Saccharomyces cerevisiae S288C: one gene and its partners. The gene in region 4 interacts genetically with the main gene of each other region. Each region holds a gene or a part of one and is shown on either strand. Other genes may lie near its edges.

Region 1 (5,372 bases), on a different chromosome or scaffold from region 4:
TCGCATCCCATAGGAACTTTAACCATTGTTTCGTTAATACTTTTTTCAATACCTTTAAACGGCGTTTCATTCGCGCTATCAAGTAATGTATTATTTACCACTGCTTTAAACTCGGGATTCGAGCCAGGTGATCGCGTTAAGACCTCTGTTGTATAATCTTTAGTTAATAAGTCGTACTCATCAAAATTGCCATAGGTGAAATTTTCATCGCTTTGGTTCAAAGTTACCATATTTTGCCTACCAATGCTGAGAACTGACTCCTTTGAATGTAAAACTGTGGATTCCTCATAATTTCTCTCTTCGGTAACGTCACTTCGATTATTGAGGCAGTCTTCATTAAAGTTTATTACAATGGATATGGTATCACCAGTCTTGAACCTACAATCATCTATTTTAGGTGAGCTCGTAGGCATTATTGGAAAAGTGTTCTTTCTCTTAATAGAAGAGATTAAATACCCGATAATCACACCCAAAATTATTGTGGATGCCCAGATATCTTCTTGGTCATTGTTTTTTTTCGCTTCAATCTGTAATCTCTCTGCAAAATTTCGGGAGCCAATAGTGACAACATCGTCAATAATAAGTTTGATGGAATCGGAAAAAGATCTTAAAAATGTAAATGAGTATTTCCAAATAATGGCCAAAATGCTCTTTATATTGGAAAATAAAATAGTTGTTTCGCTCTTCGTAGTATTTAACATTTCCGTTCTTATCATTGTAAAGTCTGAGCCATATTCATATGGAAAAGTGCTTTTTAAACCTAGTTCCTCCATATTTTAGTTTTTTATCGATATTGGAAAAAAAAGAGCTATCAGAAATCAGTCAATATATCATGTACCTATGGAACCTTATCTTTCTCAAAATAATAAATTATAGTGATACTTTTAGAATTGTGTCACTTTCTTTTTATTTGTACTTACAAAATTCGGCCGAGTTATCATCTCGGTAACCGAGAGGAAGAGCCCGAGCAGCTAAAAGCGACAAACCGTACAGATAAAATGTTCGTGCTAATCCAAACTGCAGCATTCCGTATAAATTTGTCAGATATACTGATCAACTTAGATAAAGTTCCCCACTCAACCTGCTTTTGTTTATTACTTGCAAGGTAGATGGATGGTCGAAATTGATCAAACAGTTCGTTTCTTCAACCCATGATTTTTCTTACGTTTCATCTATATTGTTAACTTGTTAGCGCGAGGTTTCGATTTCTTTGATCTGTCCTTATGAACTTTTTTTGATGTCTTTTTCTTGTCATTCTTTGCGTTATCTGTGCTTTTTGTAGGAAAAGAAAGCCCTAGCTCCAACTGAATAAGCTTATTCAAACTTAAACTAAGTTTTATATTTTCTGCAGTGTTGGTTCCGAATGACGCAGCTGAAAAGCCAGACGACCACGGAATGATAAAGATTCTAAAACGGTCAATAAGTAAAACTCCTCTCTTTAGGCCCTTTGGTGTGACAAGTGTCTCACTTATTTTACTGACAAACCGCTCCCCCAATTCACTAGATTGAAATCTTAGGCCACCACACTTCGCCTTGTGGTTGACTATTAATGACAATGAATTTCCATCCTTCCATTTCTTTATACCCAATAATTGCGAAACTGTATCAGTTATTTTCCATTCAGGGATCGAGGCATCAATATTATACAGAAAAAATGATTTGGTGGAGGGGTTTTTTAAAAACGATTCATTCAAGGGTAGTTTCTTCAAAATATGAGAAATGTCCACGGACGCGTACTTTTCCAAGTTTTTGACCTCATTTGCACCTTTTTCATTTTTATACAATGCAGTTGTGTTTTTTATTAACGGAGTACTTGGGCCATCTGATGTTGCTCGCAGAAGTATATTTTTCAATTTATCAACGATATTATCTGCTTCTGACGGATCACTCGTAATCTGAGCTCCTCCTAATTTCACGTTTTTTAGTGACAGAAACCTTTTCATCATGTCGTTTTTTGCTTCCTCCGTCATAACGTTTTCCTCGTTCACAAGGGATATTAAATGATCCCGCAGTTGTATAGGGATGTGCCATCTTGAATCAAGCATACAGCATTGACAAATGTTTCTCTGAGTGGCGCACCGTACACATATTAATGTTTTAATGATATTATTGCTTCGTTTAGACGTCTTAAAATGGTATAAGGTGAACGGTAAGGTACAAATCTTACATTCAGAGCCTTGTGGAATTTTAGTCATTCGTATATTAGCCTCATCACCTAAGCACTGCTCACATATATTGGGCGGTGGCTCATTAATTTCATCATTCATTATATTAAGGGTGCAATAACTCTTTTCCGTTAGCTACCTTCTATTCACCTGCTCAAAAGCCCTTCCATCATCATTACCACTTCTATCAATAAAATTTGCCATAGCATTTCTTTTTTTTTTTTTTAGTCCTTATTGCCTAAACGTCATCACAGGAGAGGGTAATCCCGGAATGAATAAGGTTTGAAACTTCACGTCCCTCCGGGTTGTGACTTAAAAAAATTACGAAAGAGAACCGACTATCGTTCCTGCTATTGTTCTTGGTGAGTATTACTAACCCGCTTAGTTTTATTACTATTTATCAGTCTTTTATTTGTACGTTATTTGAATATTTAAATGTTTTTGGCTGAGCTCACTCACATCAACTGCTAGCCTCCCTCCTCTTCCAGTTTCTTTTCTTCTTGTTTGCATGAGTTCGATAATGCTGATTACAGTTATCATGTCTACTAAACCTCTGTCCACAGCCCTCATGCGGACAGATATGATTTTTTTCACCTGTATGGATTCTGTTATGTCTTGAAAGATGACCAGAAGTGGTGAACCCAGTAGAGCAGATCTTACAGAAATGACGAGTCCTCTGTCCTGCTGTATTGGTTTTCGTAGATTTCAATTTTATCACGGTTTTTGTCGGTTTGCTTATTTTAATTGAGCTATATGGATCTGATTTACCGTTACCGGTATTCTCTGCTTTTACAATATTAATATTTTGCAATGGCAGTATCGGTGACGTTTTTCCACTTGCTGTTAATCTTGAAATAGTCCCGTCACTCGTTCTGTTCGCTTGTTTTCCGGAGAAAAAATCGAAAGCGCACTTATTCAATTTATCTTTCAAGTCATCATCAATTAGATGTGATGTTTTCATCAAGGGTATCAGGGTTTGGTATTTCCTTTCATTGTTAAAAGAGAACATTTCAGGCATAAGAGTTATCTGGGAGGGCGAACATTCGAAATTGATGGGAAATTCACATTTCCTATCTTTAGCTAGAATAGTTGACATCAAGTTGTCTTTGTAACCTATGGACATCTGGAAATTTTGTAGAAGCTTTATATTTTTTGTTCTTCGAACAGTAGCGAGTGCTCATATGACTTGGTGCCGGAAATTCATTTGAGCTGTCATAATATGATAAATATTTATATGTAAAAATTTAGGCCAGATAATATATAAAAGATAAACGATTTAAAGAGGGTGTAGGATTTGCCTGTTAGCGATGTAGGAGCTACTGCACGATGTAGCATGTAATAGCCAGACGTGATTCCCCTAAACTCAGGCCCTTCTCCAAGGAGAATGCAACGGTAGGCAGTTCGTTTGAAATTGAAACTTTTCTCAACGACAATGATGTCCCGCAGCATAAGAAAACATGAGATCAGAAAAGCGTTGCAAAACGCAGAAGCCACTTATCAAGAGCTACGGCTGCGCGTTTTTCTGGGACGTGCTGACAAACGAGAAAAAAGATGGCTTTGTATTCAGTTCAAGGCCCTGTGTATTTTTTTCCTTCAAGAAATTTTTATTTTGGCCTGGGGTCTTTAAACGGACGGGTGCCCTGAGAGTACTCTCGCATAATCCAGGGATGGCTTTTTCACAGTCGTTTAACATTCGTTTATGAAGTAAAGAAAAAAAATACCAAACCCCGTTAAAAGAGAAAAAAGGTAGCCGAACATTGAAGCAGCCCATGCCAGTTTGTCCTTGGGCAGATAGTTTTCCGTCTGGCTTGAAAGGTTATAGTCTCCTTTTTTTCTTGGCTTCGGGAAAAATACGATTTGTTTGTTATTCTATATGCAGAGCCGCTGCTCTGCAGGGATTTATGATCTCGAGTGCCATTGATCTTGAAGCATCTTTTGTTGAAAGGATTTGTATGACATCATACCCGAACTTTTTTAGCACGTGAAAATGGAGAAGTCTATGGTTTTAGAGGTTGCTATTAAGGCATTTTCTAAACTTGAGGGTTGTTTGATCTTATGTTGGTTGGTTGTAAGCCAGCCGGTGTAGCCACGTGTTAAATCTTGACTTTTTTTCCCGAAGAGGGTCTGGTCCTGTCTATTTTGTTTCATGCATATTTTTTCTCAAGGAGAAAGACTCTTCGCTGCGCCTTGGCATAATAACGTCTTCGGTAGGGTCCATTTTTTTAACGTTGGCGATGCCCATATTTAGCTCGTTTGGTCGTTCCTTCGAAAGATAATCGTTCGTAAATTAAAAATAAAAGAGAGTAGTTTTCGAGCAACGAGTAGCCAGCTGGTGCCAATTGTCAAGAAAGGAAACATTTCTTACGGATTGGGAAGAAGCACTAATCTCGAAAAAGAGAACGTTTTTAGAAAGTTTTAGAAGTTGATTATATTAATGAAGAAAAAATTTTCGAACTAACAATTACATAAAGAGAAGGTATAATAATGGAGGTAATTTTTCAAATATTTGTTGTAAAAGGTTCCCTTTTATAACAATAAAGCAGCTGCACCTGCAACAACAGCACCGAAAGAGGCAGCGCCTGCATTGACTCTTTGACCGGCATTGGAAGCAGTTTCGACTGTAGAAGTGCTGACAGAAGAGGTAGTTGGAGCGACAGAAGAAGAAACGGCCTTAGAAGATGATTCGGCAGATGATGATGGGGCAGCAGAAGAAGATGGGGCAGCAGAAGAGGATGGAGCGGCAGAGGATGTAGCTTCGGAAGAAGATGCAGCCTTGGAAGAAGATGCAGCCTCGGAAGAAGATGCAGCCTCGGAAGAAGCTGGGGAAACGGAGGCAAGAGCAGCAGCGATTTCAGAACTCAATCTTGTGGTGTACCATGGCAATTTAACAATTGTCTTAGTGATAGCATCAAAGTCCAATTCACTAAACAAGGTAGTGTAAGCGTCATCGGTGTAAGTCATGACTTGTTGATACACACTCAAGACATCAGATGGAATTTGGAATCCACTGTTGCCAGTTTCTAGACCCAAGTAGTCAGAAAGATGAGAGTTGATGTCACCGATAATAGCTTGCAATTCAGCAGTTTCGGCGGCGCTGGTGTCAGCGACGGCCAAAGAGGCAATGGCACTTAAAACGAAAGCAATCTTGGAAACGGACATTTTATTTTATTTAGCAGAGGGTATAGTTATGCAATAGCAATTATTGTT
Region 2 (8,523 bases), on a different chromosome or scaffold from region 4:
GTGGATGCATCTCGATTAGGCCGGGCTAGGCATCTTGATTCTTTCCCAAAATGGAGTTAACGAGCTCGATTGGGCGTTAATTGATGGATTTGGTTACACTGATACGAATTGAGCCCGTTTATCATTCATGCAGCGGCTTTATGGAGGGTGTGGAAGACGTTAGCGATGTTATGCTTTCCACTTGCTCTACTATCTTCCATCAAACCCACCTAATAAAGCTGAAGGTTTTGCAGGGGCAGAAGTCGTGGCGCAATAAGTTCAATAAATACTTATAATATTACTTACTAGTTTAATCATGTATGTAAAAACTCGTTGCGGTATGCTGTCGTACTGGCACACATTTTTTTTTTTCATTTTTATTTGCTTTTTTCTTTGGCACCGGGGAAGAATTTTTCCCCACTCTATATATCTTGCTGCGTGTGCAGACTGGCCAGCTGCTCACACAATGAAACGCAATGGAATGTTTAGTCGTTTGTTATCATAAAGATCTCATTCAGTGCCTTGGAGTCCATCAACGCGGCCCTCTTTTGTTTTATCCATTTGGAGCGCACCGATAGTCTTGTGTTTACCGCATCGGGGATATTGGATGCAGATTCACTAGATTTTAATTTTGACGTCTTTTTCGTTTCTTTGGTCTTTTCCGCCCTTTTTTCCTTCTTCAATCTCTTCTCTTCCTTTTTATGTTTCTTATGCTCCTTTTTGTCCTTCTTGTCTTTTTTCTTGTCTTTCTTATGCTTTTTGTGCTTCTTGTGCTTCTTTTTATCACTGTCTTTATCCTCTTTGTCGTCATCATCTTCATCTTCGCTATCGTCTCCTTCCCTCTTTCGTTTCTTCGCGTTGGAGTAATTTCTTAACTTGTGAGTCTTTGGATCCCACGTGCTTGCTAAAACTTCACCCTTCACAAAATGGATACCCCATTTTCCGTCAATAATCTTCTGCTTTCTCTGCGTGTCCAATTCCTCTGATATTTTGCTTTCCTTTCCGTTCAGCCTACCAAGAATTCGCTGGAAGACATCCAACCCTGCGCATTCACCATTATCAAACTCGTCTTTTTTGTCTTTACGTTTTAATTTAGCACCGAGCCCAACGTTGTCGTCCTTAATTGACACTTTGATATGCGAAGTGTTCGAATTCATGGGGGATAACCCCAGACCCATACCGGGTTTCCATCCAAACTTTTCTAGAAATTGGTGCCCGAATCTCGAGGTGTCGTTACTCCATGCCGTATTTCTGGGGTCTAAACCAAACCGCTGTTTGGTTCTTGTAGCTGCCAAACCCATTCTGCTTCTTTGTTTAATGGTGTAAGCTGCCTATATGTTACTATTGAGTACTCATCTCATCGCTTCTTTCAGAACAAAATTTTTCATATTTTTTTTTTTTCCTTTTCTTTTTTTTTTTTTCTTTGACTGTTACCCGGTTGTTTATATTTGTAGGAAAACAACAACGACAGAGAAAATATCCTTGCAGTGGCGGCTAATTTGTTAGTTGACTGATTGATCACCTTCACTTATTAAAGTAAAATCAGCATACAAGAGATCAGAAGGGAGAAAGAGAGTGGGCAAGGCTATAGTACTTTGAAGAAAGCATCTTTGAACCGACCAGTTCTCTTCACAAGCAAAATCTATATGACTAACCGCAAGGGGCAAAGGGTTGTGAGAGGGCCCGTCTTTCTCCCGCTATAGCCGTCACTGGTATCCCTCCTGGCTGCACAAATCCGATAGAAAGGGGAAGAAGGAAGTTTAGTGCCACCTTATAGCACGCAGTTACTGTTTACGCTAAGGAGAGGCATACTCAATTTTTATTAGTCGCCTTCTTTAGTTGCTGCGTTTTTATCCACGGTTCTCTACTAAATGCTTGCGATAAGCGCTTCTATTTTCCTCCCCACCGCGAGGCGGAAATGGCACATTTTTTTTCTTTTGCTTCTGTGCTTTTGTTGTAATTTTTGGCATGTGCTATTGTATGAAGATAACGCGTGGTTCCGTGGAAATAGCCGGAAATTTTGCCGGGAATATGACGGACATGATTTAACACCCGTGGAAATGAAAAAAGCCAAGGTAAGAAAGTGGCAATATTTTTCCTACAAATAGATCTGCTGTCCCTTAAATGATTACCATACATATATATATTTATTACACATCTGTCAGAGGTAGCTAGCGAAGGTGTCACTGAAATATTTTTTGTTCCAGTTAGTATAAATACGGAGGTAGAACAGCTCTCCGCGTGTATATCTTTTTTTGCGCTATACAAGAACAGGAAGAACGCATTTCCATACCTTTTTCTCCTTACAGGTGCCCTCTGAGTAGTGTCACGAACGAGGAAAAAGATTAATATTACTGTTTTTATATTCAAAAAGAGTAAAGCCGTTGCTATATACGAATATGACGATTACCGTGGGGGATGCAGTTTCGGAGACGGAGCTGGAAAACAAAAGTCAAAACGTGGTACTATCTCCCAAGGCATCTGCTTCTTCAGACATAAGCACAGATGTTGATAAGGACACATCGTCTTCTTGGGATGACAAATCTTTGCTGCCTACAGGTGAATATATTGTGGACAGAAATAAGCCCCAAACCTACTTGAATAGCGATGATATCGAAAAAGTGACAGAATCTGATATTTTCCCTCAGAAACGTCTGTTTTCATTCTTGCACTCTAAGAAAATTCCAGAAGTACCACAAACCGATGACGAGAGGAAGATATATCCTCTGTTCCATACAAATATTATCTCTAACATGTTTTTTTGGTGGGTTCTACCCATCCTGCGAGTTGGTTATAAGAGAACGATACAGCCGAACGATCTCTTCAAAATGGATCCGAGGATGTCTATAGAGACCCTTTATGACGACTTTGAAAAAAACATGATTTACTATTTTGAGAAGACGAGGAAAAAATACCGTAAAAGACATCCAGAAGCGACAGAAGAAGAGGTTATGGAAAATGCCAAACTACCTAAACATACAGTTCTGAGAGCTTTATTATTCACTTTTAAGAAACAGTACTTCATGTCGATAGTGTTTGCAATTCTCGCTAATTGTACATCCGGTTTTAACCCCATGATTACCAAGAGGCTAATTGAGTTTGTCGAAGAAAAGGCTATTTTTCATAGCATGCATGTTAACAAAGGTATTGGTTACGCTATTGGTGCATGTTTGATGATGTTCGTTAACGGGTTGACGTTCAACCATTTCTTTCATACATCCCAACTGACTGGTGTGCAAGCTAAGTCTATTCTTACTAAAGCTGCCATGAAGAAAATGTTTAATGCATCTAATTATGCGAGACATTGTTTTCCTAACGGTAAAGTGACTTCTTTTGTAACAACAGATCTCGCTAGAATTGAATTTGCCTTATCTTTTCAGCCGTTTTTGGCTGGGTTCCCTGCAATTTTGGCTATTTGCATTGTTTTATTGATCGTTAACCTTGGACCCATTGCCTTAGTTGGGATTGGTATTTTTTTCGGTGGGTTTTTCATATCCTTATTTGCATTTAAGTTAATTCTGGGCTTTAGAATTGCTGCGAACATCTTCACTGATGCTAGAGTTACCATGATGAGAGAAGTGCTGAATAATATAAAAATGATTAAATATTATACGTGGGAGGATGCGTATGAAAAAAATATTCAAGATATTAGGACCAAAGAGATTTCTAAAGTTAGAAAAATGCAACTATCAAGAAATTTCTTGATTGCTATGGCCATGTCTTTGCCTAGTATTGCTTCATTGGTCACTTTCCTTGCAATGTACAAAGTTAATAAAGGAGGCAGGCAACCTGGTAATATTTTTGCCTCTTTATCTTTATTTCAGGTCTTGAGTTTGCAAATGTTTTTCTTACCTATTGCTATTGGTACTGGAATTGACATGATCATTGGATTGGGCCGTTTGCAAAGCTTATTGGAGGCTCCAGAAGATGATCCAAATCAGATGATTGAAATGAAGCCTTCTCCTGGCTTTGATCCAAAATTGGCTTTAAAAATGACACATTGCTCATTTGAGTGGGAAGATTATGAATTAAACGACGCTATTGAAGAAGCAAAAGGAGAAGCTAAAGATGAAGGTAAAAAGAACAAAAAAAAGCGTAAGGATACATGGGGTAAGCCATCTGCAAGTACTAATAAGGCGAAAAGATTGGACAATATGTTGAAAGACAGAGACGGCCCGGAAGATTTAGAAAAAACTTCGTTTAGGGGTTTCAAGGACTTGAACTTCGATATTAAAAAGGGCGAATTTATTATGATTACGGGACCTATTGGTACTGGTAAATCTTCATTATTGAATGCGATGGCAGGATCAATGAGAAAAACTGATGGTAAGGTTGAAGTCAACGGGGACTTATTAATGTGTGGTTATCCATGGATTCAAAATGCATCTGTAAGAGATAACATCATATTCGGTTCACCATTCAATAAAGAAAAGTATGATGAAGTAGTTCGTGTTTGCTCTTTGAAAGCTGATCTGGATATTTTACCGGCAGGCGATATGACCGAAATTGGGGAACGTGGTATTACTTTATCTGGTGGTCAAAAGGCACGTATCAATTTAGCCAGGTCTGTTTATAAGAAGAAGGATATTTATCTATTCGACGATGTCCTAAGTGCTGTCGATTCTCGTGTTGGTAAACACATCATGGATGAATGTCTAACCGGAATGCTTGCTAATAAAACCAGAATTTTAGCAACGCATCAATTGTCACTGATTGAGAGAGCTTCTAGAGTCATCGTTTTAGGTACTGATGGCCAAGTCGATATTGGTACTGTTGATGAGCTAAAAGCTCGTAATCAAACTTTGATAAATCTTTTACAATTCTCTTCTCAAAATTCGGAGAAAGAGGATGAAGAACAGGAAGCGGTTGTTGCCGGTGAATTGGGACAACTAAAATATGAATCAGAGGTAAAGGAATTGACTGAACTGAAGAAAAAGGCTACAGAAATGTCACAAACTGCAAATAGTGGTAAAATTGTAGCGGATGGTCATACTAGTAGTAAAGAAGAAAGAGCAGTCAATAGTATCAGTCTGAAAATATACCGTGAATACATTAAAGCTGCAGTAGGTAAGTGGGGTTTTATCGCACTACCGTTGTATGCAATTTTAGTCGTTGGAACCACATTCTGCTCACTTTTTTCTTCCGTTTGGTTATCTTACTGGACTGAGAATAAATTCAAAAACAGACCACCCAGTTTTTATATGGGTCTTTACTCCTTCTTTGTGTTTGCTGCTTTCATATTCATGAATGGCCAGTTCACCATACTTTGCGCAATGGGTATTATGGCATCGAAATGGTTAAATTTGAGGGCTGTGAAAAGAATTTTACACACTCCAATGTCATACATAGATACCACACCTTTGGGACGTATTCTGAACAGATTCACAAAAGATACAGATAGCTTAGATAATGAGTTAACCGAAAGTTTACGGTTGATGACATCTCAATTTGCTAATATTGTAGGTGTTTGCGTCATGTGTATTGTTTACTTGCCGTGGTTTGCTATCGCAATTCCGTTTCTTTTGGTCATCTTTGTTCTGATTGCTGATCATTATCAGAGTTCTGGTAGAGAAATTAAAAGACTTGAAGCTGTGCAACGGTCTTTTGTTTACAATAATTTAAATGAAGTTTTGGGTGGGATGGATACAATCAAAGCATACCGAAGTCAGGAACGATTTTTGGCGAAATCAGATTTTTTGATCAACAAGATGAATGAGGCGGGATACCTTGTAGTTGTCCTGCAAAGATGGGTAGGTATTTTCCTTGATATGGTTGCTATCGCATTTGCACTAATTATTACGTTATTGTGTGTTACGAGAGCCTTTCCTATTTCCGCGGCTTCAGTTGGTGTTTTGTTGACTTATGTATTACAATTGCCTGGTCTATTAAATACCATTTTAAGGGCAATGACTCAAACAGAGAATGACATGAATAGTGCCGAAAGATTGGTAACATATGCAACTGAACTACCACTAGAGGCATCCTATAGAAAGCCCGAAATGACACCTCCAGAGTCATGGCCCTCAATGGGCGAAATAATTTTTGAAAATGTTGATTTTGCCTATAGACCTGGTTTACCTATAGTTTTAAAAAATCTTAACTTGAATATCAAGAGTGGGGAAAAAATTGGTATCTGTGGTCGTACAGGTGCTGGTAAGTCCACTATTATGAGTGCCCTTTACAGGTTGAATGAATTGACCGCAGGTAAAATTTTAATTGACAATGTTGATATAAGTCAGCTGGGACTTTTCGATTTAAGAAGAAAATTAGCCATCATTCCACAAGATCCAGTATTATTTAGGGGTACGATTCGCAAGAACTTAGATCCATTTAATGAGCGTACAGATGACGAATTATGGGATGCATTGGTGAGAGGTGGTGCTATCGCCAAGGATGACTTGCCGGAAGTGAAATTGCAAAAACCTGATGAAAATGGTACTCATGGTAAAATGCATAAGTTCCATTTAGATCAAGCAGTGGAAGAAGAGGGCTCCAATTTCTCCTTAGGTGAGAGACAACTATTAGCATTAACAAGGGCATTGGTCCGCCAATCAAAAATATTGATTTTGGATGAGGCTACATCCTCAGTGGACTACGAAACGGATGGCAAAATCCAAACACGTATTGTTGAGGAATTTGGAGATTGTACAATTTTGTGTATTGCTCACAGACTGAAGACCATTGTAAATTATGATCGTATTCTTGTTTTAGAGAAGGGTGAAGTCGCAGAATTCGATACACCATGGACGTTGTTTAGTCAAGAAGATAGTATTTTCAGAAGCATGTGTTCTAGATCTGGTATTGTGGAAAATGATTTCGAGAACAGAAGTTAATTTATATTATTTGTTGCATGATTTTTCTCTTTTATTTATTTATATGTTGCCGATGGTACAAATTAGTACTAGAAAAGAAAACCCACTACTATGACTTGCAGAAAAAGTTATGTGTGCCATAGATAGATATAATTGCATACCCACATTGTATACTCAAAATTCCGAAAAGAACATTTCATTTTTTATGAGGCAAACTGGACAACGCCTTCGGTCCTTTTTCATTCTAGAAATATATATTTATACATCATTTTCAGAAGATATTCAAAGAACTTATTGGGATGTCTGTTTACTGAATAAAGTATACACAAAATACGAATTTAAAATGGAAGGCATAAAATAGAAAACTTAGAAGTGAAAATCCTAAAACCGAAGGATATTTCAAATACGTAAAAGAAGTGAAAGATAAAATAAAGCCTAAATAAGGAAGAAAAGAAGGGATAACATTTTTTTTTGTTACTTTTTGCTTATTCCTCACCTAAACAGAAGGAAAAAGCCATTCTTGTTTAAAGAGTATTTTTAAAGCGTTCATGAAAAGTCACAGTCCAAGGAGTATTTCAAATTGTCACTTGAAGTGAAAACACCCCAGTGCTTCTCGACATCAGAGGTACCAGAGGTGTTTGGCTTCCAATCTTCATCAAAGGCTTCAAAAACAATAACGTTAACACCCCAAGCTCTCATGGAACAGATACCTTCTTTCCAGAATTGTTTGGCGTTGTCAACAGATGGGTAAGAACTTTCAAAGTTGGTACCATCAGTTGGCCAACCGGTCTCACCAACCCAGAAGGTAATATCGGTAGAACCTTTAGTAGATTGGATAACCTGTAGAGCTTGCATAATATCATCAAAGAATGAGTAAGAGGCATTTTGCATGGTTTGACCTTGCCAGTAGGAGAACGCGTTAGCCATAACAAAATCGGAAGCTTCGATAACGGCAGAATTGTAACCAGCAACCAAAACATTCCAGGAATCGACAGTACCGACTTGCTTACCAGAGTATGACTTTCCGTCAGAATCGGAAATGTCAGCAACGACACTACGGACGTCATTAATTTTGTCTGATAATTGAGAGGCAGTCAAATCGTTACGGTATAAGGCTTCAGAACCAACCAAGAAACCAGCAACAGTGGATTCTTTAATTTTTGGCAAATAGGTTTGCAAAGCAGCCTTTTCAGCAGCGTAATGACTGTCGTCTGTTGGCCAAACACCGACAAAGATAGTAAATCCCTCAGCTTCAGCAGCAGGACCTAAGTTTTGCAAAGTGTTACAATCTGAGGCAGCGTAAACTTTGACGGTGGAAGTGTAGCTCTTCAAAGCTTGTAATTCGGTTTCATAGTCGGAAGTGGACTTACAAGTACCATCGTTGTTCTTGACACCCAAGTTAAAGGCTAGTTCACCAATAGCTGAAACTTGGGAGGCTGTGAAAAATAGCGCAGTAGCTGCAGTAGCGAGTGTAGTAGAGAAACGCATCTTTGACCGTTTTTCTTTTTGGTTAGTTGTCTATCTCAATAAACTTATATTGAAAAAAACAAGAAGAAGTCCAAATTGTGAATGAGGAAAAGTTTCTTTATAAGGAGGCAGTTAAAATCAAAATAAACAAATATCCTCTTGTTTTCTTCGTGACATTTTTCTCTTTTTCAGGGCGAAAAACTGAAAGAAAAATTTTAACGTTTCTTTTACTAAAAATAGAACTGCATATCCGTAGAAAACGATG
Region 3 (6,387 bases), on a different chromosome or scaffold from region 4:
CTTGACTCTCTGGTCTGAATCCGCAGCGTACGAGGCGATCCTTTGAATGTCCTTCGTGGGCTGTACAAAGTTTTTTGTTGTTACCTTCTGTTGCTGCTGGCGGTGATGCAAGGAGGGAATATGAGAATCGCTGAACCTTCTTGCTATGAACTGATGGTTGTTGTTGCTAGGCGACAGGTTATGTACACACTGATAAAGGTCGTAAATGTTCATAGAATTAGACAGCCTCTGTTGTCTTTTAGACATGAAGTCCCCGAACAGGTCTGTATTACAAGCCCCCTCGTTATGTAACTTCTCTCTTGGTGAGCACGATTCCGAAAATTCAGAGTCGTTATCGTTGATATTGAGCACCGTTTTAATGAACTCATGTTTCTTATTAGGAGTGGGAGATCTGTTACTCTCCAGAAAATAGTCGTCATGATGGCCACCACTTCCGGCACCGCTTCTCATATCCTCCCCCTCTTCCTCCTGAATAGCCTTGTAATGGATGGTTAGATGGGCAGATATGGGTCTATTGCTACTGCTACTCAGCATGGTTATATTCTGTTGTCTTCTTTACTTTAAGGCGAAAGGTCAGACAATATGCATATATATATATAGTCTTCGAATGCACGGCAAAAATGATATGAAGAGCTATGCTACAGTATATACTTCTTTGTTATTGCAATCAACGTGAGCCTTAACCAATGAGGAAGTAAGAAGGAAATAAGAAGTAAGACATAAAATAAAACTACAAAAAAGAAAGAAGATCCGCAAAAACCCAAGAACAGCATTGTAAGTACTACCATCTATATAGATCGAATATCCTACTAATATATAGTAACTGCCACACGAAAAACTGTGGGTGTAAAGACTATTCATAGCCATTCTCTGCTGCTTTGTTGCATCGTATCATCGCCCGTTTCAGCCAGTCCCGCATACCCCCTTTGCAACGTTAACGTTACCGCTAGCGTTTACCATCTCCACGCTAAAAGGAAAACGAAGATTAAGATAAAGTTGGGTAAAATCCGGGGTAAGAGGCAAGGGGGTAGAGAAAAAAAAACCGGAGTCATTATATACGATACCGTCCAGGGTAAGACAGTGATTTCTAGCTTCCACTTTTTTCAATTTCTTTTTTTCGTTCCAAATGGCGTCCACCCGTACATCCGGAATCTGACGGCACAAGAGCCGATTAGTGGAAGCCACGGTTACGTGATTGCGGTTTTTTTTTCCTACGTATAACGCTATGACGGTAGTTGAATGTTAAAAACGAAAACAGAGATATTGAATTGATCAATTTGATCAGTACGTATGTAATCTTTTGTTTGCCATGTTAAATCGGCCTTTTTTTCCATCCGGTCTTTATCTACCATTCATTTATTACATCGCAATGAAGTCTCTCGCTTCATGTTGTTGTTTTTTTTCCTGCCTTTTTTTTATCCGCTCTCATTCTTATTTTTCCTACTTGCATTTTATAAAACAATAATATTTTTTTCTTCTTTTTGTCCTTTATTTATTACTTCCTTGATTAAAAGCTTCTTATCTTCGGTTTCATAAAGAAGAAAATTCCTTTTTTTTTTTTTTTTTCCTTCTTCTTGCTTAAAAGCCTTTCTTATACCTCATTTGAACAATAGAACTAGATTTAGAGACTAGTTTAGCATTGGCCAAGAACTAACCATACGCAATGACTGTTACTACTCCTTTTGTGAATGGTACTTCTTATTGTACCGTCACTGCATATTCCGTTCAATCTTATAAAGCTGCCATAGATTTTTACACCAAGTTTTTGTCATTAGAAAACCGCTCTTCTCCAGATGAAAACTCCACTTTATTGTCTAACGATTCCATCTCTTTGAAGATCCTTCTACGTCCTGATGAAAAAATCAATAAAAATGTTGAGGCTCATTTGAAGGAATTGAACAGTATTACCAAGACTCAAGACTGGAGATCACATGCCACCCAATCCTTGGTATTTAACACTTCCGACATCTTGGCAGTCAAGGACACTCTAAATGCTATGAACGCTCCTCTTCAAGGCTACCCAACAGAACTATTTCCAATGCAGTTGTACACTTTGGACCCATTAGGTAACGTTGTTGGTGTTACTTCTACTAAGAACGCAGTTTCAACCAAGCCAACTCCACCACCAGCACCAGAAGCTTCTGCTGAGTCTGGTCTTTCCTCTAAAGTTCACTCTTACACTGATTTGGCTTACCGTATGAAAACCACCGACACCTATCCATCTCTGCCAAAGCCATTGAACAGGCCTCAAAAGGCAATTGCCGTCATGACTTCCGGTGGTGATGCTCCAGGTATGAACTCTAACGTTAGAGCCATCGTGCGTTCCGCTATCTTCAAAGGTTGTCGTGCCTTTGTTGTCATGGAAGGTTATGAAGGTTTGGTTCGTGGTGGTCCAGAATACATCAAGGAATTCCACTGGGAAGACGTCCGTGGTTGGTCTGCTGAAGGTGGTACCAACATTGGTACTGCCCGTTGTATGGAATTCAAGAAGCGCGAAGGTAGATTATTGGGTGCCCAACATTTGATTGAGGCCGGTGTCGATGCTTTGATCGTTTGTGGTGGTGACGGTTCTTTGACTGGTGCTGATCTGTTTAGATCAGAATGGCCTTCTTTGATCGAGGAATTGTTGAAAACAAACAGAATTTCCAACGAACAATACGAAAGAATGAAGCATTTGAATATTTGCGGTACTGTCGGTTCTATTGATAACGATATGTCCACCACGGATGCTACTATTGGTGCTTACTCTGCCTTGGACAGAATCTGTAAGGCCATCGATTACGTTGAAGCCACTGCCAACTCTCACTCAAGAGCTTTCGTTGTTGAAGTTATGGGTAGAAACTGTGGTTGGTTAGCTTTATTAGCTGGTATCGCCACTTCCGCTGACTATATCTTTATTCCAGAGAAGCCAGCCACTTCCAGCGAATGGCAAGATCAAATGTGTGACATTGTCTCCAAGCACAGATCAAGGGGTAAGAGAACCACCATTGTTGTTGTTGCAGAAGGTGCTATCGCTGCTGACTTGACCCCAATTTCTCCAAGCGACGTCCACAAAGTTCTAGTTGACAGATTAGGTTTGGATACAAGAATTACTACCTTAGGTCACGTTCAAAGAGGTGGTACTGCTGTTGCTTACGACCGTATCTTGGCTACTTTACAAGGTCTTGAGGCCGTTAATGCCGTTTTGGAATCCACTCCAGACACCCCATCACCATTGATTGCTGTTAACGAAAACAAAATTGTTCGTAAACCATTAATGGAATCCGTCAAGTTGACCAAAGCAGTTGCAGAAGCCATTCAAGCTAAGGATTTCAAGAGAGCTATGTCTTTAAGAGACACTGAGTTCATTGAACATTTAAACAATTTCATGGCTATCAACTCTGCTGACCACAACGAACCAAAGCTACCAAAGGACAAGAGACTGAAGATTGCCATTGTTAATGTCGGTGCTCCAGCTGGTGGTATCAACTCTGCCGTCTACTCGATGGCTACTTACTGTATGTCCCAAGGTCACAGACCATACGCTATCTACAATGGTTGGTCTGGTTTGGCAAGACATGAAAGTGTTCGTTCTTTGAACTGGAAGGATATGTTGGGTTGGCAATCCCGTGGTGGTTCTGAAATCGGTACTAACAGAGTCACTCCAGAAGAAGCAGATCTAGGTATGATTGCTTACTATTTCCAAAAGTACGAATTTGATGGTTTGATCATCGTTGGTGGTTTCGAAGCTTTTGAATCTTTACATCAATTAGAGAGAGCAAGAGAAAGTTATCCAGCTTTCAGAATCCCAATGGTCTTGATACCAGCTACTTTGTCTAACAATGTTCCAGGTACTGAATACTCTTTGGGTTCTGATACCGCTTTGAATGCTCTAATGGAATACTGTGATGTTGTTAAACAATCCGCTTCTTCAACCAGAGGTAGAGCCTTCGTTGTCGATTGTCAAGGTGGTAACTCAGGCTATTTGGCCACTTACGCTTCTTTGGCTGTTGGTGCTCAAGTCTCTTATGTCCCAGAAGAAGGTATTTCTTTGGAGCAATTGTCCGAGGATATTGAATACTTAGCTCAATCTTTTGAAAAGGCAGAAGGTAGAGGTAGATTTGGTAAATTGATTTTGAAGAGTACAAACGCTTCTAAGGCTTTATCAGCCACTAAATTGGCTGAAGTTATTACTGCTGAAGCCGATGGCAGATTTGACGCTAAGCCAGCTTATCCAGGTCATGTACAACAAGGTGGTTTGCCATCTCCAATTGATAGAACAAGAGCCACTAGAATGGCCATTAAAGCTGTCGGCTTCATCAAAGACAACCAAGCTGCCATTGCTGAAGCTCGTGCTGCCGAAGAAAACTTCAACGCTGATGACAAGACCATTTCTGACACTGCTGCTGTCGTTGGTGTTAAGGGTTCACATGTCGTTTACAACTCCATTAGACAATTGTATGACTATGAAACTGAAGTTTCCATGAGAATGCCAAAGGTCATTCACTGGCAAGCTACCAGACTCATTGCTGACCATTTGGTTGGAAGAAAGAGAGTTGATTAAAAGAAAATGACCTTTTATTACACTTTCTATTATTAATGTCAATTAATGTTAACCCATGTTTTTCTTTTGTGTCTATAATTCTTTTTTTTTATCTCTAAGCTTTTGAACAATGAATTTTTTGTTCCTTTCTTTTAATAATACAAGTACTACCCCATGAAACCAATATTATCATGCATTTTTATGAATGTCAAGAATAAAGATACTGTTATTTTTTGTGTCTTATTTTTTTTCTCTTTGTTTATTTAAACGTTTTCTAAAATTAAAACTTATGTATACTGGAATATGTGATATAGACGATTTAAAAGATAATTCCAATAAACGTCCCTCGGATCTCATATTTATAAAGGTACCCTTTTAATACAATATTTATACATGTGCGTTAAATACTTTGTTCTCTTATTATCTATGAACTTATCACGAAGAACGGAGATGTAAACAAAAAGAGTGAATGAACTATGAACTTTAAATTACCTTATTACGGAGGAAGTATTCCTTCACCTATGAAGGATACAAGGTCTACATTTTTCGTCTGATAACTCTCAGGAAATTAAACAAAGTGGTATGGTTTTATCAAGGGGAGAAACAAAGAAAAATAGCGTGAGATTAACGGCAAAACAAGAAAAGAAACCTCAATCTACGTTTCAAACTTTAAAACAGTCACTTAAACTTAGCAACAATAAAAAGTTGAAACAGGATTCGACCCAACACTCAAACGATACAAATAAATCTGTTAAAGCCAAAAAAAATGGCACGTCCTCGAAGAAAACCGGAACACAAAGGAAAAGAATATCAACTCAGAGATTTTCATTGTTTACCTATGGCAATGTTCAGGTTATGAATTCATTCGTTCCCATTCATAATGATATTCCGAATAGCAGTTGCATTCGTAGAAATTCCCAAGTATCCGCAAATAATGTCACTGAAAGTAGTGGAGTATTCTTCAATGATACGCAAAGTCAAGACAGTCAAAACACTATTAAGTTAAAACCTACATCTTTAATGGCAAAAGGACCTATTGAAATATATCAGATATGTACAGGGTTTGATAAGTTAAAGGAAAATATAGCGCCCTTTCAAAAATCTAGTAAAGCTAGTAGTCATGATGGGCATGTAGTAAACTATTTATCGATAGGACGACATGGTGATATTGTGCATCCAGTACTACCCAAACTACAAATAACAAGGCTAAATGGCGCAGGTTTCAAATACTTTATTAGCTTTTATAATCCGGAACGGTACTGGGAAATCGAATTTCTACCTTTGATTAGTCAATCCCAATCAGAGTTGGAAAATAGTGTGAAAGCTTTTGAAAACGTCATTAGCAAAATTTGCCAATTTTCGCATATTAATGAAGGAGCTACTATTGGGAATAATGAGTCTTTGAGCGATAAATTCAAACTGCCGCCTACTTCGGACATAGAGCCCCCCAATACTGAAATAATTAATAATGATGATGATAACGATGATGATGATGATAATTATGATGATGACGACCTTAATTACTTGCTGGATGAAGAATACGAACAAGGATGTACAGATAATAGCTTCTCCGTGATATCGAACACTTGCTCTAATCTAAATGCAAGCTTTCTCTATCCGAGCGACCCTACCGATGCCGTGTCAATCTCCATAAATGAAGCTTTCAAAAATGCTATCAGACGAACCGCTCCTGTACTGAATATTCCAATAGCAGCCCCAAGTATTCATTCGAAACAGCAAAACAAAAGATATAGTTCATACCCTTTTATCGACTCTCCCCCGTATCTGCAGGACAGGCATAGAAGATTTCAGAGGAGATCCATATCTGGTCTTGGCGACCTTTGAATGAAGTTCAAAGCATAACT
Region 4 (4,981 bases):
TGATTGTTCCATTTGGAGATTTCCACATTTCTTTAAGGTTAAATTCTTTCATTCTTGCCTCATCGGGTGTTATAGTGGCACATTTGACAGCAACCCCATATTTTAGGGTAGCATAAGAAGAATCCTTTGTTACTTGATCATTAGTCCTATCACGCTCTTGGATTGAAAGGTCATAGTATTTTAAATCCACATCTAAATATGGCAATATCAATTTTTCTTTGATAAGTTTCCAAATAACTCTTGTCTGCTCATCACCGTCCATTTCCACGATGGGATGAACAACTTTAATTTTACTCATTTTAACTTGGACAACTATCTCTAAAGTGTTGCTTGTGTTTACTGCAGGTATGTGCAGGAGAAAGCTTATAAGGGGAACACTCTTATATACGAAGATGCAAAATTGGGGTAATTAATGTAAATTTAAGAATGACAAGAAGAGTTGACTAGTACACGCAACGAAATACTAATCACATTTTACTTTTCCCCTAAAAGAGAGCTCCTGCTTTTCTCTTTACTGTCCCTTTTGGTATGTTTGATTGATTTCTAATTAGTATACTTGAAATATCATTCGTTTTGTATTAAAGATTCGGCATTAAGCATGCTAAATCCGAGGAGGATCTTCCTTTATTTTTTGATGTTCTTTCTCTCAGACAATAAAAAAGATATACAAGAAAAATATAGTACGTACGTATATATGCATACATATGTAAGAGGCAGTTACACGGTATTAAACTTTAATATTTCGTAAGAGTCTTGCACTAATTTTCCATCAATTCAGCGACTGTCTTTTCACCAGCCAGAACTTGTTTCATGCTAGCCAAGATGTCTTTGAAGGTATCGAATTCATGGAATGGGACGTTTTGTTTTTTACAATAAGTGACCAAATCTTTACCTCTTTTGGCAAATAGCAAATCACATTCTTTTGCAGCACTTAGATCAGAAACACCGTCACCACAGTAAAAGTAAACGGGTCTTTGTTCACCTGCTTTCAAGGTAGATTCAAATTTCTTTTTATAAGCATCGATACTTCTGGATTTGTCATGTCCGAAGGGACTTTCATCCTTATAGATGATTTTCCATTGATCATGTGCATCGATTTCCACTTCATTGGAAACAATGTCAATTTTGTGAATAGACTCTTGTCCAACTAATCTGGTCAATAAAACCTTGATAATTGGTTTCATTCCGCTGGAAACAACGATGACAGGGACATCATTTTCTTGAGCCCATTCGAATGTATCCTTGAAACCAGGATCCAATCGAATTTTCTTTTCTAAGATCTTGATACACTCAGGGAAAGGGGTGTGGATGGATTCCAGCATTTCCATGAAACCTTGCCTAAAAGACTTAGTATCATCTAACACGCCTTCGAAGACCTTTAATCTTTTTTCCTTACCGAAACCTAAAGTATCGGTCAGATAATCGTTAGAATCTTCCAAAGTAACGGTACCGTCGAAATCGGTAAAAATAACAGCTTTGACCATTTCCCTTGTATATATATAAATGCTATGTCACTCCAGCTTATGTTATGTGAGCAAGTTTCAAGAATGTGTGCGTTCTGTTGAGATAAACAATAGAGGACACTGTATTTTTTTAATTTAAGATGATGAAAAATTATGCGATAATTTTCGAAAATTTCGCTCATTTTAGAAAAAGAGATTTGAACAGGGTACCATAGTAGAACGATAAAAGAATATGTCGTACAATGTGTTGGGTTGTTGATATCCAATAAAGAGTTTTTTTCAGCGTGTAATGCTTAGATATTATGTGGAAAGTTACTACTGTTGTATTAACCTGTTTCGTATTTCCTAAAGAACGCTAATGTGTGATGTTTGGGTTTATTTCTTAAGCTATTTAGGCGGACTATGAAAGAGAGGAAACGGAATCTTTTGTTCCCTCGAGGTAATAAGGGGACAAAATAGCAGAGTGTGGTGAGATAGTTTACTAGATGAACGTCGTTGTGTGCTCCGGTGGGACTGCCACAAATTCATTGACTCCTTGCTTTTCTAATATTTCTATCTTAAAAGGACATGAGCTGACGTATATATTGCCAATATCAGATAATGGCGGGTCCACAAGTGAAATTCTACGAATAGTTGGTGGCCCAGCAATTGGTGATATCAGATCTAGAATAGTGAGACTACTTCAAGATGAACAGCTTGTCGAGTTGTTTGGCCATAGGCTACCTAATGATAAGTTATTAGCTAAGAAAGAATGGAATGAAATAGTGGAAGGTTCGCATCCCATATGGAAAAATATTTCGATAGAAGTTAAGGAAATGTGTCGTTCTTTTATTATCCATATGCAAGCAGAACTCTTGAAAAAAATCAAACACTCGAATCCATTTCAGTTTGAGAGTGCATCCATTGGAAATTTTTTCTTAACTGGTGCTAGATTGTTTTTAGGTTCTCTAGACGCATCTATTGAACTAATGATGAGGATAGGAAGGTGCAGTCCTCTAGTTCATGTTATTCCATGTATAAATACCAATCACACACATCATATCTCGGCTTTGTTGACGAATGGTGAGATGATAACTGGCCAATCACAAATATCGCATCCCTCGAAATCTGTTCCTAAAGATAATAGCATAGCACATTCAGCTAAATTTATTCATTTACTTGGCTCTTATGACGACCATTTGAAAATTCTCCTCGACGATGAGGAAGAAGAAGCGGAAGAGGAGTATGCCAATCCTATCTATATTCTTCCAGAACTGAAAAACTCCCAGTTGCATTTTGACAAGCTTGATGAATCACAGAATCTACCTGCTCCGGTACATAGGATATTGTATATAAACCCATATGGCGAAGAGATAAAACCAATGGGAAATCCAAGAGCTATTTCCAAGGTGAAAAAAGCTGACATGGTCGTTTATTCTATCGGTTCTTTAATGACAAGTTTACTCCCAATCCTTATTCTTGGTAATCTTGCTGAAGTAATTTTGGAATCTAATAATACGAAAAAAGTTTTGCTCATAAATAATAAATATGATAGAGAGGTTTTTGGTTTAGACGGTTTACACTACGTTCAAATGATCATAGATTCTATGAGTAGGGCAATAGCAGGCTATAGGCAATCTAAGGGTGTCCATTCAGAGAATGATGACTTTGAATGGCAAGATTTTATTACTGATATTGTTTACCTAAAAAATGGTGAAATTGAAATTGATGAAACGATATTCGAGAAGCATAGTATTAGATGCCACCAGATCGCGTCTTCGGATAAGATGGAAAGTGAAGAACTTGAAAAGGTTCTGAATCAAATTGGCCTTAAAAACTGATGCAACTATGTCGCTCATTAACGGTTATTATAGTGAAGACTACATAATAAAGACATAGATAATAAAAAAGAATCGCGTTTGAACCATGTTTTATTTAACCATATGGCATAGAAGAAAAGTAAAAAAGGTGAACAAAAACTCATTAAATTTCACAGAAAAAGTCTACTCTCTTATGAGTAACAGTAGTCTTTAAAGCATTGTAAGCAAAATGGCGAAAATTTCTTTTTTCTTGGGAGCCTGTCCATTGTTCTTTTGGTTAATATACAGCCTAAGCAATTTTTATAATAAAGGTCATAATCATTGCTAAACACTCCCCTTCCAGTGGGTAACATACTGCTAACTTCAGACTGATTGTAAGTTATTTTGAATGTCGACGTATTAGATGCGTTTCCATGATTCGCATTGGCATGATAAATTATAATTGGCAAAAATGAATCATGTCCAGTTCTTTTGGTAGCATTGCATCCTATAACAATGGGGTGAGTGAATGTTTTTACATTGTTCGGAAATTGGTAATGAACGTTCTCTTCATCTAATTTTTCGAATATCCTTTTTAACTTGGAGCCGTTTGGATAGTTGTCAATATCCGAACTAGAATCCAGAACAAAAATTACATCTAGTTCCCTTTCAGGAATCACCAATGTTCTGAGTGGAATATTCTCGCCGTCTTCTCCGCCGTCTACAAGGTATAAATGATTTTTGTTAGTTAGGACATTGTCTTTTTCAGGATAAAGATAAAAGGGATTGGGTTGATATACGGCATAGTCTGTCTCTAATCTCGAGGAGTCTTTCGAAATACTAAATATTTCCTCTTTACCTAGGCCAAAAATTCCCATAACCATATTCAAAGCTTTCATTGCTTCTCTGGAGGACTGAGAAGCCAAATTCCAGATGAAGATGAGCACATTGTTGAATATTGAAGAAGACGTCGCAGTAATAAAACCTAGATCATCAAAGTTATTAATACACTTCTCGGCCTTTCCAGAAACAATTTTTGAGCCCAAATAGGGCAACTTGACGAAAAGTCTGAGGATATTTTCCCAAGATCCAAATTCAAAGGGCGTAAATTCAAATATAACGTTTGAAAGAAGTCCATTTTTGCAATTTGCAACGAATATTGGGATCGGCACACTGCATTCCTTAAATTTTTTAGACGAGTTTACAAGCTTCGAAAACGAAAAGGAATGGTTGGGATCGTCATCGAAATTTTTTTTTAGTCTTTGAACGATTGCTTTACCCCAATAATCGGTGAACGATATTTGGAAACCCTCCATTTTTTTAGGCTTAATTTTCAAATGCAAACTTTTGTAAAAGTCTAGCACTTTTTTAAAGGTTTCAATCTTCGCATCAGTTCCAGTGAAAGTGTTGTTAGGAAAGAATATTTTTTTTAGTCTTGCTAATGGATTCAAGTTTCTCTTCGTTATCATATAGTCTTCTGGGATTTCTTCTATGGAATTCATGATCTCCTCTATTTGTTCATAAAAATTTGAAGAGCTTGTAATCAGAGAACCCCCCTGACGCTTCTTCATCTTCAAATCATTATCATTATACTCCTTTTTTGCATTGGTAACAATTTCTTCTTCGGAAATATCGAATTCCGGTATGCCTAATAAAAGATCCTCTTCAAGGTCCCACTCTTGTAGCAGGGATTTTACTTCAAAATTTTGAACTACCAAATCCATCAAGATCCAACTTCCG

The links.
Region 1: mutations in PYP1 (region 4) and ECM2 together harm fitness more than expected from each alone (negative genetic interaction), as found in Saccharomyces cerevisiae (2 studies listed by BioGRID).
Region 2: mutations in PYP1 (region 4) and YOR1 together harm fitness more than expected from each alone (negative genetic interaction), as found in Saccharomyces cerevisiae (2 studies listed by BioGRID).
Region 3: mutations in PYP1 (region 4) and PFK2 together harm fitness more than expected from each alone (negative genetic interaction), as found in Saccharomyces cerevisiae (2 studies listed by BioGRID).

What each region holds. Positions count from the first base shown.
Region 1 is NC_001134.8:367,412-372,783, forward strand, and holds ECM2 (Pre-mRNA-splicing factor ECM2), read right to left. Parts: upstream 2,268-5,372; coding exon 1,173-2,267; downstream 1-1,172. Other genes in the region: CNM1 (Cnm1p), read right to left, coding at 1-773; NRG2 (Nrg2p), read right to left, coding at 2,626-3,288; TIP1 (putative lipase), read right to left, coding at 4,692-5,324. UniProt on the Saccharomyces cerevisiae protein: Involved in pre-mRNA splicing. Facilitates the cooperative formation of U2/U6 helix II in association with stem II in the spliceosome. Binds to RNA.
Region 2 is NC_001139.9:1,050,446-1,058,968, forward strand, and holds YOR1 (ATP-binding cassette transporter YOR1), read left to right. Parts: upstream 1-2,378; coding exon 2,379-6,812; downstream 6,813-8,523. Other genes in the region: PXR1 (telomerase inhibitor), read right to left, coding at 465-1,280; BGL2 (glucan 1,3-beta-glucosidase), read right to left, coding at 7,338-8,279. UniProt on the Saccharomyces cerevisiae protein: Functions as a pleiotropic drug pump at the plasma membrane to clear toxic substances from the cytosol. Organic anion transporter involved in the detoxification of a wide range of toxic environmental organic anions that contain carboxyl groups.
Region 3 is NC_001145.3:670,043-676,429, reverse strand, and holds PFK2 (6-phosphofructokinase subunit beta), read left to right. Parts: upstream 1-1,663; coding exon 1,664-4,543; downstream 4,544-6,387. Other genes in the region: YMR206W (uncharacterized protein), read right to left, coding at 1-534; INP1 (Inp1p), read left to right, coding at 5,105-6,367. UniProt on the Saccharomyces cerevisiae protein: Catalyzes the phosphorylation of D-fructose 6-phosphate to fructose 1,6-bisphosphate by ATP, the first committing step of glycolysis.
Region 4 is NC_001146.8:610,138-615,118, reverse strand, and holds PYP1 (putative phosphoric monoester hydrolase), read right to left. Parts: upstream 1,485-4,981; coding exon 759-1,484; downstream 1-758. Other genes in the region: isocitrate dehydrogenase (NADP(+)) IDP3, read right to left, coding at 1-298; YNL011C (uncharacterized protein), read left to right, coding at 1,949-3,283; SPO1 (putative carboxylic ester hydrolase), read right to left, coding at 3,454-4,981. UniProt on the Saccharomyces cerevisiae protein: Hydrolyzes sugar alcohol (polyol) phosphates. Dephosphorylates a variety of substrates, including: sn-glycerol 1-phosphate (D-glycerol 3-phosphate), D-ribitol 5-phosphate, D-sorbitol 6-phosphate (D-glucitol 6-phosphate), and D-erythrose 4-phosphate.